Linked DNA regions of Lepisosteus oculatus. The protein of the gene in region 1 purifies or fractionates together with the protein of each later gene. This does not show direct contact. Links are inferred from orthologs where the notes say so. Each region holds a gene or a part of one and is shown on either strand. Other genes may lie near its edges.

Evidence for each region.
Region 2: the proteins of ube3a (region 1) and psmd1 purify together in Homo sapiens (affinity purification with mass spectrometry, with the first as the bait; 3 studies listed by BioGRID). This does not show direct contact. The link is inferred for Lepisosteus oculatus from reciprocal best matches to the Homo sapiens genes UBE3A and PSMD1.

What each region holds. Positions count from the first base shown.
Region 1 is NC_090710.1:22,991,416-22,999,500, reverse strand, and holds the start of ube3a (ubiquitin-protein ligase E3A), read right to left. Parts: upstream 3,040-8,085; 5' UTR 2,808-3,039; coding exon 2,731-2,807; intron 586-2,730; coding exon 541-585; intron 1-540. UniProt on the Homo sapiens protein: E3 ubiquitin-protein ligase which accepts ubiquitin from an E2 ubiquitin-conjugating enzyme in the form of a thioester and transfers it to its substrates.
Region 2 is NC_090708.1:8,525,935-8,533,986, reverse strand, and holds the start of psmd1 (26S proteasome non-ATPase regulatory subunit 1), read right to left. Parts: upstream 3,085-8,052; 5' UTR 2,929-3,084; coding exon 2,913-2,928; intron 1,922-2,912; coding exon 1,878-1,921; intron 1,423-1,877; coding exon 1,349-1,422; intron 953-1,348; coding exon 783-952; intron 372-782; coding exon 166-371; intron 1-165. Other genes in the region: uncharacterized protein C2orf72 homolog, read right to left, coding at 6,388-6,488, 7,448-8,052.

The sequences.
Region 1 (8,085 bases):
ATTCTAGAAAAACTATTAAGGCGGAGAAGGTCTCTCTCACAAGTCAGAACTTGTAATATTTTATTAGGCAAGTTGAAATTATTCTGAAGCACCCATAAAAGTCTTATAGGAGTTCATGTTCAGCAGTAGAGTGTACACTATACAAATTAGAATGAAATATGACTGCCTTACAGCACACATAAAAATGAAAAGAATAAGGTGTTTTTGAAGAAAGGCACAAATTCTCTAATTCTTTTCTTGAACAATGATATGTGCACAAGTATTTGGAGTATGAAAATAAGATCATGCCTTATAAAACGCCATGCATACACCTCTATATTGCAGAAAGTTCATGCTTACAGAAATGTGCACCTTCAAGTAAAAAAACAATGCATTGAAACATTTAGTAAAGTATGTAAGACATTTCAATGGGTCAAAAATCATTGGCATCAAAACCAGTGTTAAAGAAAAATACACGACTGATGCTGTGATGATAAAGGTAAGACTACAGGGTAAGGACATGGTACTGCAAACAATAAAGCCCCCGAACATTTCACTCACATTCGGCTTGCTTCAGGGTTCTCTATGTCAGGTTCTCCTGGTGATCTAAAAGCAATGCAAAACAATATCGGATAAAGAATTAATTTCTGACAGAAAGAGAAAACTTTGAAAGAACACACTAAAATCACACTGAATGGGTCGATATCGTATATTCATTAAACATGACCACTAGCACAAAAAAATCCGGTTAAAATAATGCTTTTACGTTCATTGTACAGTAATTGTCACAACCTTTCAACGAAGATAAAAGTCCTATCATTTTGTTCATTGTACAATGACAAGAGATGGGAACCTGGCTTTGCTAAATGAAGTACTATGACTTCAGTCCTATATTTTGGGCATCAAGCTGCTTCAGAAAGTGAACAGATGGGGAGCAAAAAATGATGTTCTGTTGCGATAAAATACTTTAAGCAAGTGACACATGGGGGCCTGCCTACAAATAAAACTGCACTATTATCTCAAATTCTTCTAATCCTGTCCACACCAGCACCAACAATCCCTGCACTAGTTAAGTTATTTGAATACCATTTGGACATTATCCTTCTCCTAGAAATCACATGATCCTAAATCTCCAGTCTATGAAGTATTTGATTCAAAATGTGAAATTAACTCTGTAGTTTCAAATCTTACACTCCCAACCTGACACTACACGTGTCTACTCTAGGCATGTTCTTGTCATTCCATGAAAAAATCTTGCTGGGCCTCTAACTGCAGAGTGCCTACTTTAACGCACAGTCTAGTTGTGCCTTGGTATCAGATTTGTAATCACAATTTCCATTACCCTTTCACAAACACATTGAACTCTGAGGTCAAACCTGACTACCTACTACTAGATTGGAATCTTCCTCTTCTCAGCTTTGAACAGTTCAGAGAATTAGTATGAATGACAGAATGGAAAGTTTACATAGCAGCTTCTCCAGGTATCAATCACTGCTCCAAAGGTCATTGATATCTTTAAGGCAGTAGTCTCAAACTTACTTCCTGGAGGGCCTTGTGTCTGCTGGTTTTTGTAGTCAATTCAACATTGAACCTATTTTTATTTACGAAACGTCTTTTACAGTTGACCACACATGACATTCACTTAATCAAAGTTAGTTTATATCTATCTACAGTTAGCACATCAAAGACCGGTTTCAATGTATTTCAATTAAGCAGCTTATTCATTCAGCAAGTCGACTATTTAACCGAGATCAGAGACACTAGGGAGACCTTCCAGGAATTAAGTTTGAGACCGCTGCTCTGAGGAGAAATGACAACTTCAGCTACACGTACACTTCTACATTATTCACAATATGAGTTATTTTTATATACCTACCCCATAAAATTCATAAAATAGAAAAACAGAGACACAAACCATCACTATATGGCTCCTTTTAAAATTGAAATCAAAGAAATGTATAAACATCAAAAGGACTAATACGAGAACTTCTATAATCTAATAGAAAATAGACCTGTAACTCAAAACGTTTGCAATGGGTAATTTAAAGGCTTGCGTACTGCCATTGGTAAATAGTGTAAATATGTTTGACACGGTGCACTGGAGGGGCCTAGCAAAGGATAAACCTTAGCTGCTCTATTAACCAAGTCAATGCCATCATTCTCCTTATTGCGAGCAGTACGAAAGTAGTTTAATGAAAATATCTGATCGTGCATCACGAAACGTCATAACCCTATATACTACTCAGGTAACAGTAACTAGCTAGCTCCGTGCAGCTGACAGGCCTTACTGGGTAATGACAGTGCATGATTAACTATTGCTGTGCATTTAGATGCTAAAAACAGAACGGCATTTCCCATAACTGCTTTCCGTGTGTCACTTTAAATGGCTCATTCTCTTAAGCACTGTAAAATCGGAACCAGGTAAGCGCTTGCAAGACTGTAACAGTTTTGAAATTCTTAACATATCGTACAGCCTACGGCCTAAAGCAACTTGTTTACTGTCAACATCCAACTGTCAAAAACAAGACTTGGCAAATGTTGCAACCGAACCTTATCAGAATAAGATGCCGTTTTTTTTAAAAGGCGGAGCACGAAAGACACACACTGCAAACACGGGGACACGGAAAGGTATAAACGGTGGATTAATAACCGTGCACCTGCCGTACAAAACAGGCAATCTCTCCCTTTCCTCTCTCCTACTTGCCCGACCGCGACCGGAATCCCCGGCCCTTTCCCCAGCCCCGTACCGACCTGTCGGATCCTCCTGTAGGGGCTGGCTCGGCCTGTGGTGGCGCACACTCACAGTCCTGCTTCTCGTCGGAATTCATACGAGACTTTCTCTCTCAGTTGTGTGTGTATATAGTGTGATTTGGTTGTGCAAGGTATTCCCTTAGTCACGACGAGGTTTCAGCAAGACGGCAAGGGGGTTTATTGCTGCAGCTGCGATAACGACGGAGGTCCCTGGATTACTGAACTGATGTTTCATTTGAGGCCTGTTCCACTCTCTGATCTCCACAAAATCAATTCCGCCATCTTGGTTTCAACAGGGCTAGCCGTGCACAAGGGTGCCTATCCCAGCATGCAGCGCTGCTTTCGCTCCTGCTAGCTTTGGTGCCGCAGCGCTCTGGCTGTGTTTACAGAAATGAAAGGCAGGCAGCTGTGGTGTCCAGAAAAAGTGATGTTAGTGTCAAATTTAGAACTTGAATGTCTTCTACAAAGAGCTTTTATGACCGGGCACTTTTTGATCAATATGTACATCCATAGAAAAAGATCATAATTCTTCACGATGTATCTTTACTTTCATTTTCATGTCCTTACAACCAGTTCTTGCTGAAGGTTGAATTTTAAAAAGTAAATAAACGCGTGACCTTTTTTTGCAGGTTTTTCGAAAGAAAAATGCGTTTAAAATGCACACTGTTACTGACACTCTGTTAAGCCAAGTTTCGTTTCGAAACAGGATGGCGGTTAACTAATTTCAAAAAGAGAGCGTGAAAGACGAGGAATTCTGGGAAATGATTTTATCGCTACTTATTTGTTACTGTATGTATTATGAGTATAGCTATATTTTTTAACAGATTGTTTCACGGGATTTCTTTGTTGTGTCATACTGGCTTTTACATCGATCTTTTAGCTATCGATACGAACAGCTGTGACATGAGTGGGAATTTCTGTTAGTGCTCATAGCTTTTTTTCTCTCATCAATTATGTACAGTAATCGATTTTAAATGCATTTTGTTTATAAAGGCATACGAATGCATTTAACTAATTCTAATACACTTACCACTTTAAGTATACCTATTATATGGAGAAAGCGGACGTACTATATGGTATGATCATTTCAGGAATATTAAAATGTGTTTGTGATACAGAAAAACGTGTATATGCATAAATATATATGGTAATGTAAAGGATTCCTCCAGCAAAAATAAAAACCTAAGAATGTATACTTAAGAATCGAAAGAAACTTATCCCTCTATGTCACATGTGTTTTAAAGTATACCGATTTGGGATATTGATTTACTTACATGTTCTGGCATCATTTTGTTTGAGCATGACTCATGCGCTCGCTTAGCTTAGACAGACGTTAGCATAAGCGCCAAACCATCTCAGTAGTGAGTGTTGATTGGGCACAGATTTGCACGTGATTCAAACTGTGGAATGTCCTAACTGGTAAAACTGAAAGGAAAAAACATTGAAAGGGGTCTATACAGTATGTCTTATTAATTCATCAAGAGAGCATGAAAGTGTTCATGCTATCAGTATGTTGGAGCAAAACCTGACAATTTGGGAGCCAATCCATCTTAAGCAGCGAGGTGTCTCAAGTAAATGTCAAGCTCAATACAAAGCCTTCAGAAGACGGTCGTGGGGTAACGAGACATAAACTACTATACTGTATATGGTAAAATGAAAAAGTTCTGAGTTTAAGTGTGTTGAAATAATTGAGTTCAGGGGTCAAATGCCCTCATTTTTCATCACTATTGCTTTCCAGTGGAATTTTTAAAAAGTTTGATAATCCCATATACAAGCATCAACATGGTGTCAAAGTTGTTCTTCTGTATTTATGAGTGAACTTCTAGTGCCTCTGTCTCCTGAATGGTTAGTCATTCAGATTCAGAAATCAGTCTATTTCTCACATGGGCAAACATTTACGGAAATTTTTATGAACATTTAAAAGGGTGTTTAACTGCTACAGAACACCACTGGTAGTGATTCATGGAAACCTAACGTCATGGCACTATATTGTTCATGTCCTGGGATCTCACCTGACATAGCACTTCAGTAGCACAACACTCATCCTCCTGTCGCTTGTGTATCAACAGCTTCCTGTGTCCTGTCTTCCGTGTGAAGACGGTATTACTGTTATCCCCAGGTTTGCCCTACTTGAACCGTGGGGCTGGAGCCCCATTACTTATCTGTGAGAAGAGCTGAGGTGACACTTGGCTGGAGCCCCATTACTTATCTGTGAGAAGAGCTGAGGTGACACTTGGCATCTCGGGCTGCGAAAAACATGTTTTCCAGTCTCTAAAAGAGGACAGAATCCCACAAAACAGCATCTGCAACCAGGTGCAAACCATGTATCACAGACACTATTAGACTCTGACTTTCACTGTAGACCCTCTATTGATTCATCCTGTTGTTGGCAAATGTTAAGCATAATAAACCCATCCATGTCACATATATATTCAATATCATTTCAGTGCACGAGCTTCAAAAATAACTGATAACTTTAACTGATAATTCCTGATAACTTCGTTGCAGACAGAATTGGTCAGTTTCCTTTGACACCTAGTATGTATTATTTTAAATTGCCTAACTGTTGAGCCTAAATCCATTAAGTGCCGTAAAAGTCATAGAAGACCAGGTGTTTTTTCAGAAGCTCTTCTTCTTTTCAGGATTTCAAGGACATCTGTTGTTTTAGTGCCATTTACAGGTTTCCATATTATTTCTTCATTAAGAACGTAATTAATTTGCATGTTTCTTACCCTCTAATTATTTGTACAATTACTACTACTTTTATATATCACGAAAGTGTTTATGCATTTCTTCTGAAGTATTTGTATCATTTTGTAAACCTAATTGCTTGTTTATTGAACTGTTGTTTGCTGAGACTTCAGGCCGTGACCACAGTACGTGCAGTAGTCAGTCTGCCACTGGTCTTAACCTGTTTTGTCTTAGCCAATCATGGTATCTCTCCGCTTCTTGTCTGCCTTTCAGAAACTTCAGACATTCTGAAATTTACAGTAGGAGACCTTCACAAAAGAGTGAGGATGGGATAAGATTTATAGAAAGGGAAGGAGTAATTAGAACTAGAGCAGGTGAAGAGGTGAATTGGGTGGAAAGAAAAGGAACAAGAAGGGTCAGAAATATTAAAAAATCACAGACAATAGAGTACTTCTCTAGTGTTTCCATTTTGGTGGTCAGTGGGGTATCACACCATCCTATTATTCTATCTAAAAAAGTAAAGGTTAATTCCATGCCGAAAGGAGAAGAAAAGAAACACAACGTTTTGGCCTTCTTCTTCAGCATGTTAGGAACCTTTACTTGTTCCTTTGCAGCCTGCGCATGCTAACGCAGTTACCTGCTTGAACAATCTAAAGAAGTGACAATCAGTTTGGAACTCATTAATGAAAACTAAAACCTGTTTGATTAGAAACCTAACTGATTGCTGAGAAGGTCTCAAACAACAACGAAGAAATTACAGATGAAAGGAAGATGTTAAACGCTCAATTTACTCCTAACAAAGAGATGAGGCCAAATCGGATACATCTTAAGAATGTCTGAATGACTGACTCCTAAATGACTTTGTGACTGTAATGTATTGATCAATATTAGAATATACAGTTAATCATTTTGCGTCCCTTGAAGGCTGTTATTCAATAAATTATGTCTCTGCCTCTCATAAAAGCTGAAAAAAATTGTTCTTATGAGGACACAGCTTTATGAGCAGTTCTATAGTTTTTATAGTTCTATGTAAAGGTGTCATGTAAAATAGTTATCTGTAGAAGATTCTCGTGGTGGCCATAATTGAACATTAGAGGAGTACTGTAACCATTAAGCAGTTATGGAAAGTTTGCCCCATGATGCAGGAATGTTGAAAATGTTTAATTTAGAATCTTTAACATTTTTTAAATCCCCCTATCCACTTTTGTTTCGGTAGAAACCGGAAAATGCTCTTTCATACAATCCTTCTATTATAGTGGTTATTGCTTTCATAACTAGGAACTTATCTTTTATCACCAGAATAGTAATATTTTAGTGCTTTAGTATATTGATTTAGCTGGGAGACATTAGGTACTGAACAGTGCGGAGCTCTGAACAGCAGTTGGGCCTAGATGACCTTAATCATGACCTCTTATCTAAAGTATTTGCCTTGCACAAAAAGTTTTTTTTTCCGTAATTTCTACAAATAGCGTCAAAAAGGCTCTTTAATTCGGCACCACCTTCTTTTGTTCCCACACAAGTTAGCTGCCCAGCACTGAATACAAAAACCAGCACAGGGCGTAGGTGACTGACTTCCTTCACTGCATGGATTCCTCCTGTGAAGTTTCCCCCTCCTGAATCTGAATTTCGACTGGAAATTTTTACTGTTGTTTTAACCTCTAGGGATGTTTAATTTTGTTCAGAATTTGCACACTACCCTGTGGTGATTTTAAGACTCTGCCGGCAGTGCTGGTACCCATATGTGTGGCTTCATGAGATGTCAGAGGGAAGAATTTTGTCTCCAGCTGGAGTCCTCGCCAGTCAGTGGATCACCATCAGTGTAATTTTGGTGGCATAGGTGACTAAATCATTTGAGGTTTGCAATACATTGGTAGGCTTCTTTGGTTCACATTAGATATTGCCAGTGAGTTACAATACAGATTCTCCTGTGTGTGTGAGGTTGGTGCTGCCTAAAACTAGATCCTATTGTGTAGTGTCAATCTGTGAAGCTGTAATTCTCCCATGGAGTGGCTTGAATGTTAAAAATTCTTGATTTGTACAAAAACATCATCAGTTTACTTCCTGGGATAAATGTATCAAAGAGATTTACAGCATTTTATTCTTAATATACTGTATGTTTGTAATAAGTAATGTGTTTGAACTTATAGAAGTAGTTCTTTGAGCTACACCTTTGACTGCTCTTAAAGTAAAAATTAAAAGACTGCATGCTTAATTACAATCACCCCTTTTTTCTTTATTTTGGTGATTGAGCCGTTATTTGCTGTTTAGATGTGTTAAGATGTATAAGCAATGTTGGATTTAAAGGGGCATAAAAGGAGCCTTTTTTATATATTTAGAACAAAAGCATAGTGTTTGCATCAGGAAGAGTCGGTGCTGTGTTATTTAATAGCTTAAATTTCCCAAAATACTGGATGACTGGATCAACTCCAAACATCATATTATAAAAGTGAGGGTTTGTACTGTTCGGTGGTCCCTCACAAGTTCAATGTACATCAAGTTTATTGTATTCCTTTATGATATTGTGGACTAAGGAAATTGTATTTCTAGTTTTCCAATATTGGATCTCCATTTATTTTAGCAGTATCCTAGTGTTCCATTAACGGAGAAATACTGTATGACCTCCAGAAAACAGAGGGTTGTAACACCTTTACCTCTTATTTTGGT
Region 2 (8,052 bases), on another chromosome or scaffold:
ATAGTTTACCATAGAACTCCAATGCAACAAAACAATAAGAAATTACAGATTGTACTCCATAAACGATCACTAGGAAACAAAGCTGTAATAACGTTGTGTGTCCTACGTTAGAGAGACTAAAAAGTGTAGGATGCTACAGTTCAGCCAAGCGCAGTCAATGCTTACAGACTCCAGGATGGTCTTCTCGAAGATGTCCAGCCGACGAGTCTCAAGGGCAATGCCAATTGCCTGTTTGTACTTATGGTCACCCAGGCAGCGCAGAAACATTTTGTTAACAATGCCCTCCAGTCGGGGGTCAATGCTTTTCCTCTCATCATCCGGCAGCTCTGCATTCTCCACACGCTGCTTTGTGTAGTAGTCAATACATTTTGCTGCATGAAAGAAGAAGCAATGGATTGAACTGCCACTTCCCAGCACTTCAGCTATGACCGCCAAATGCAGTTATACACTTGTAATGTATAAGCGTTAAGTGGAGGGATTCCTTTGTACAAGTGTTTCTTTTTTGTCTTAATATTTTATCTTGTTTCTGGAAATATTCAAAGTGGCCCACTTTGACATAACAGTTACAGGGCAGGAAACAATTTAACAATTCAAAACAACTGTCCTGGTGTTACAACTAATTAGAATTAATTCTGAAATTCCACCACCTTTTCAAAAGAGACAGAGGTAAATCAAATATGCAGAAAGAAAGAGTAATAATAGGACACTTCAACATTTTCTAAACATTTACAGTCTGGTTCATCACACACTTCGATCACTATCATTAACACTTCTGAACTCACCGATGATAGTCTCCACATACTCAGAATCGTCATTGACATTGAACAGGTCTCCAGCTCCCAGAGCGTAATTCAGAGACTCTTCAAACGCACCCAGATGGTAGAAAACTTTGGACGCTACCAGTGCTGCAAACTCCCTGCTACGGAACGTCTCATCTTCATAGAGAACCTCACTTAAAGAGTAACATAAAATGATCAGACCAAGAAATGTCTATTTTAATTATTACTGTAGCTGTAACAAACAACATATCTAGTGATAAGTACCCTAGTTTACACCCAAGGCACAATTAACTAATCAGACATCAACGGGATAGAAACAGTTAGCTCAGAGGAAGGTTTAATTATGTAACAAGGAAACCAGCTCCAAGCTTGTATAATGTAATATTCACGGCAAATAATTTCAGATGTATTTTTATATAAAACCTATTGATAATTGGAAAGGCTAAGCGTGCAGAATGATTTATGTATTTAACCATTCTTGATATGGCAAGGAAATGACATTTAGAGAAGAGACAAGTTAATCTGTGAATAACAAAGGTAGATGAGACCAAAAAAAAAAAGATTCTTACATTTTACCAACAGATTCTGAAATCTCAGCCCAGAAATCATTGACAATGGAATTCAGCTTGTGCAGAGCAAACTCCTGTATCAGAAATATTCAGGAAAACAACATAGGATACTTTCATGACATGCACAACACACTGCAGATTTCACAGAACTGCCTTTGGCAGGTTTATCGTCTCATACGATTATTATAGTCAGGAAGAGAACAGTTTAACTGTGCTATACAATATAAATAAGAGTCCTGAGGAATTAAATAAAATTCATAGTAAATTAAAAATTACAGTACAATTATATTAGAAGTTGGCATCATTAAAGTTCAATGCAGTCCCAGGGTTAATATATGTGATCGATTCCCATAGGTACTAGAAATGAAGTTCAGTACTCCTGCTTATACACAACTATTATGCACAAAGTGTAAAGATCAACAAGAACAGTGTGTTTCTGTGATTCTCAGATCAATGGACCTCTGTTTTTTTACAGTATATGCACAAGCTTATTTCTGCAAATAAGGTGTACTTAAGGCAAACAGTTCACCTTGAGCTGAGGCTCCTCTTCATCCAAAAGAGAGATTATTCCAGCTAAAAAAGGAAAGGAAATGTGTCTGAGTTGACAAATACAGCTACCAAAATGTTTAACACTAAACTGTAGAGACGTGGATCTGAACACATGAATGACCTTTAAGTATACCACGTTAGTAAACAATCAATCTTCTGCTCCAGTAAAGGCATGTAAGAAGGTCATCGACAGATTAGTTACCAATGATAGCACTGCAATACTACTGGAAAAGGTGGTCCAGCCTCATTATGTCTAGACGAAAAAATGCAATATTTACAACAAATAATTGTATTTATAAGAACAAGACAAACGAATGTATGAAAACAAGTCTGTACACAATCTTACAAATGTTACGCAAGAGACAACTGCTCTACATATTTTTAGCTCCTTTGACCGATTGTCTAGAAATGCCATCCTATGATCGTACGAATGAAGTTGGATGGTAGACTACATCTACCACAGTTAGAATATACTCTGGTTGCACATCTGTACACAAGGTACATAGGAACCACAGAATCAGCGGGACGCGCTGAATTTCCTGTAAACAAACACAACTACAAGGCTACTAAAATAACTCGTCAGCTGCCATGTGGAAAGTGACCAACATTGTAATGGGAAACACAGTTATGTGTGTTGAAACAGGTTTGTTTACAACACGCGCAAATACACAAAGACTAGAAAAAAAAACATTTTAGTAGTGAACTCGGATGGTCGTATTGGTACTTTTCCGACACACGGCGGACAATCGTGGTACGTTTGTTTTTCTTGTTATTCACTTGTTCCGTGTTATAACGAGATCAGCAACAACTGATTGTTTGTAAAATGTCCCATTAAGGGTTAGGGGGTCCAATAAAAATATTTTACATTGTTGTACTACGTTTCATAATGAGATACTGTACAACTTAAAAGGCAAAACACACTTATTTGCATCGCTCAGTCTTTTGACTCTGTGACTCAGCTAAATCTACCGGGTCGCAATCAACTGCTTAAGTCACATCTGCATCCTCTCCTTACCCGCTGAAGTTATCATGTTTGCTGAAAATCCCTTATTACTCCTCCGGTCTCGACTCTTCAAACAATAAAATGTCTTCGAAGAAAAAAAGAAACACTTTCAGTCAGCAATTACTCGCCTCCCGCTACCTACTGTGCGACACTTTTCCTGCTAATTTTTGATTCACAAAGAAAGTCCTTTGACAACCGGGGGCCTTCCAATATGTTAAGACTGCCCAAAACTGTGCCTGATTATTATTAGATATACCTCATTTAAAATAATGAGTTTGATACAAAATTAATATATTATTCTAACAATAGTCACATAAAATGCAAGAATAAGCATTTTAAGATCACATTTAACACTTTAAGAGACGACATTTTATATTTTTTAAAACGGGCATATTCTTTTCACTTCCGAATACTGCTGACCAATAGCTTAACGACTTTTTTTTACTAGCGGTGATGAATTCTTAACATCGCCCCCTACACAAAGGAGGGTATCTGTTCCAAAAGTAAGGTATAAAGCTGTTCTTGGTTATTGTTTATCCTGCATGTAAACAAAAATACATCAAGTAGAATACGCTACATAAAAACAGCTCTAGAATTTAACGTTTGACATATTAGTAGTAAGTAGTCCGGTGTTTACACGCACTATTTACAATATTCAGCTCTTAAATTCTCTTTCAGTTATGAAATCTTTTCTCAAAGAGAAGTACATTTCACCGGAATTTGACAAACATACCCAGTTCAATTTGTAGCCAAAAAAAACTAATTTAGAATCTCCAGTTCCTCCTTTAGAATAAAGTAAATGTTTGGTAAAATGACACGTATATCTGTTTCACTATACCCGTTGCATATCTTTTTTATATCAGTACTAAATTAGCATTTGACAATGTACCTTGGAATGCTTCATTGTTTAACACTTTCCCCTTTAGAAAATGGAGATAAAATAGCAGAGTCATACAATAATGACTCATTTTCAACTGCCTGAAAAGTATGACTAGCTTAACATTAACAGACCCTATAAGGCACCTAATTTCTCGCTGTTCAAATGGATTTTATCGTCCTTATAAGACATATTTCTGAAGATTAACTGATGAATTCAAACACTTCAAATATTAAGAAATACATTGGGAAATTTCTGTCAGTGAAACATTTTCATTGTAGAAAGTTGAATAAAGCACAAAATGTAAAGGGAGCTTCTAGTACTAATGACATGGAAATTAACTGATACCTTAAAGCTGCTAAGGCTAAAGAAAGCCAAAGTTATGTCTTAAGCCATTAAACCTGTTGTAAATTGTTATAGGTTGTATGTTTAGAAGTGCTAAGCAATGAACAGTGAAGTGACATGGGTATAGCACTCAGGATAACTGATTTCCAGCATTAAAAGCATAGCAGGAGCAAAGCTGGTGAACTTTTAATTTATCACAAGTTTGAAAAGGAACAAACAAGACACCTTTAAAATGTGAATTTCATTTAATTACACCATTAGCAGCATTTTATAAATTATTTAAAACAAATTGATCAAATATTAAAACAATTTTATTAAAACAACACAAAATAATAAATCTTGAGACTATGCAAGTAAAAATAAAAAACTGCAAAATAGCTATATAATCTTTTATTAGTTGAATCCATTACTTCTATACTTCCCCACATAGATTGACAAAAAGCAAAATAAAAAGGAAATGTTCACAATAATTTGGAGCTAATAAAAAAGATTGTCTGTTTTTATAGCACTGATTATTATTTTAGAATGCAATGCTAGCATAAACTTCACTGGTGTTACATATTACTGGGTTAGCATTATATCGTACTGTAAGATTACTAAAGATTAAAAAATACAAATGACAATATACAATGTTCTTCAAGTATAGAAGCATCAGTAATTAAAACCTAATCAAATATATAGTACTTTTACTGTGTTTATATTTGTAAAATAAGATTTAGTTATCTTAAACTTCATCATTTTTTTGTCTATATATTTTTAAAGATACATAAATATTTACAATAGGTAAGAACAAAATAAAGGTTACAAAGGTTCATTAGGTTCAAAGGCCATTAGGTTCCATATATATCAAAATGAAAATGTATCTAAAAAGCCCTGAGTATTATCTAAGAGTACATAAAATTACTTTAGGTGCTAAATACATTAATCCTAATGGATTCACGCTCTTGATAAACCATAACTAAAACTTCATTTAACAAGGAAAAGTGCAGGTCTACCAATATTTCAATATTTAAAAATTAAAATGATAATGTATGAAAGGGAGAACTGAATATGTCATTTCCATAACTGTGCAAAAACAATTACATCCATTTTCTAAATACATGATGTTCAAATTCATTAATATACTGTAAAAATTGAAAATTTATTTTCAGTATTTTACTTATCTGACAGCAATTTGCAATTTGCACCAGCGATCATTGTAAACTAACTTTGAGATGAATCAGTCTTTCAGCTGATATCAGAGAAATTAAATTAAACTCAACATCTTTCCTACAGGTATCTCAGTTTCAATTAATTGACCTTGTTAGAGAAATTGAGATACAGTACCAATGTGTTAAGAAAGCTGCAGAACAAATCCCTAGAAACTAGTCCTTGACGGTTTCACAGGTTTATCGCTTTCCTACTAAGGACTAACATCTGTTTGAATCCAAATCTTCTTTGCATTTTAAGATTTCAATATTTAAGTTGTACAGTACTTTATTTACTGCTTAAAACAACAGTAAGTAAAATACTGTATCGTGTAATATAGACTAAGACAGCAGTGTGGAGCAGTGGTCAGGGTTCTGGAGTAATTGGAAAGTTGTGGCTTCAGATCCCAGGAGAGACGTACTTCACCTAAATTGCTCCAGTAAAAATACATTTCCAGCTGGGAAAGTTGCTTTGGGTATAAGTGTCAACCAAATAAATTAAAAATTCAACATTTTGTAAATATGGACAATGTTGACAGGGACACAGATGAACCACAGAAATGAAAGCTCATTTCTAAAGGGGCTCCTGCCCTTTGTGATTGCCAGAGATTTCCCAATCCTTCATTAATATTTCTACATAACACACTGGCATGTGTGATTACTCCAGGAGATGTGGAGAAACTCAACAAGTCTCCTCTTCATGAAGACGGATGTGATGATGCATTTGTAACAGACCAGGGAGCTGCAGACAATATATCTGCTGAGGACTCTCCTGATCTTACACACACTTGAAGGACAGCATTAACCTTGTATTTGTCCTTTATATCCAGCCTGATTCATTTGAGTTGGTCTTTTTCTTCAACTTCTCCTGATAAGAAGAAATATAAACAATCAACCGCTCACTAAGGTCTTATAAGACTGTCATGCCAAGAAATCAGTTTCCAGTTACAATTTTCTGAGAACTGCAGCTATTTTGTCTGTAAACTGGCAGTGAATGCCTTGTAAACGTTAGTATCTTAAGCTGAGGTCAACACTTTTACCCCAAGTCACAAAAGATTGCTCATTGGCTCAGTTTTCTTCAGGCCTGGCTCTCAAGACTGTTCACCATGGAATCAATCTGTCGGAGGTCAGAGATGGAACTTGTCAGTGGGATTCCTTCTTCCGTATCCCTTAGTTTACCTAAAGGAAAATCCAGAAAGACAAATAATTCAGGAATGTCCATTCTTCTTGAGCAAACTGCAAATGCCTGGATATGAAGAAAAAAAACAAGGAATGATCTAAATCACAGACCTCGACTCTAGCTCGCCTCTGCATTTTAAAAGAAGTACAGTACATTGGCATTGTGAACTTTTCTGTGGCCCTAAAACACTACAAATGTAGCGTGGTTGGTATACAATTTAGAGAAATATAAAAGAAAACACAAGCTGCACTCTGCAGTCTATGGCTAGAATTTAAAAGGCACTTGTGAGTAAATGTTGTAAGAGTAGACTAAGGAAGAACACTCCTCTAAGCAAGATAATGCCAAATTCCTTTCATTCTTATTCGATTTTTACACGGCACCCTGTTTTTAAATTTTGACACATGTATCAACTGAAATATAATGAATATCAAGTACAATTTCCTTCTTTTACGTCCCCGACAACGAAAAAAGCTCGTATCGCTTTATTCTTGAAACATTATTAATAATGAATTGTCTTAAATCAAGTGTTATTCATTTCTTTTTGGAAGCAATATACAATATTTGTTATATGTGTATTTTGTATGCAGTAAATCACATTTAATACAGTACAAAGCTAGAGTCGAGTGCAAATTAAACCTGAGTGGTTAGCGGAGATTTGTATAAAACTTTCACGTTCTCCGGAAGAGTAAACCACATTGGCACAGTTCATGTTCCAAGAAAAAAAAAAGATTTTCCCTTTAAGATTCATCCGTTTAGAACAGTAATATCTATTTTTTTTTCTTTCGAGAGTCTTTTTCCTTACATCCCTCATACATATTTCATGCATTCCCTGGCACTACATCAGCCGGTACCAATAAGGATATATTATTATCCTCAACATATTACTATACTCATGCTATTTTTAACCCGAATTGAATACTGCACTGTTTGCAATACACCCAAGACAAAAACTTAATACCTGTGCGAGGAGACGCTTGCACTGCTTTGCAGACGTTTCTCTTGATCTCCAGCATTCCGTCCCCTTTGTTGGGTATGAAGTGCCCGACCCACACCGAATCGGGGGACTGTTTTCGGAACACCGTCCGCATTGAGCGCTCCAGAATCCGGACCGACTCGCTGGTCTCTGCGGTCTCGCTCCTCGAGTGAATCAAGCCGAGCACAGCTGGCAAGTCGTCCGCTCTCCGGCTACGAGCTTTCACGTCCTTCAGGATCTCCTTCAGGCAGATTCGGTTTGCTTTGCAAGACACAAACTCGTGCCTGAAAATAAAGATTATAACAGGCGAGTCTATGGCCCGCTCTTTGGCCTGACAGGCTTTGCCAATTTTCCAGCGTGCCTTTCTGCCCTGCTGAGTCCGGTCGCTATCCACCCCAGGGGTCATGCGATTGAACTCCGATCCTTCCGGCCTCCCAGTAAGAGATGTTTCGTCCTTTTCGGGAACGTGTTTTTGGGACCTAAAACAAGCTGCACGGTCGTTTCTTGTAGCGTTACTAACCGTACCATTACTGTTATTGTCAGGTATGCTGTCAGCTCCGCATCTACGCATAGGTGGCTTATAAGCAGAA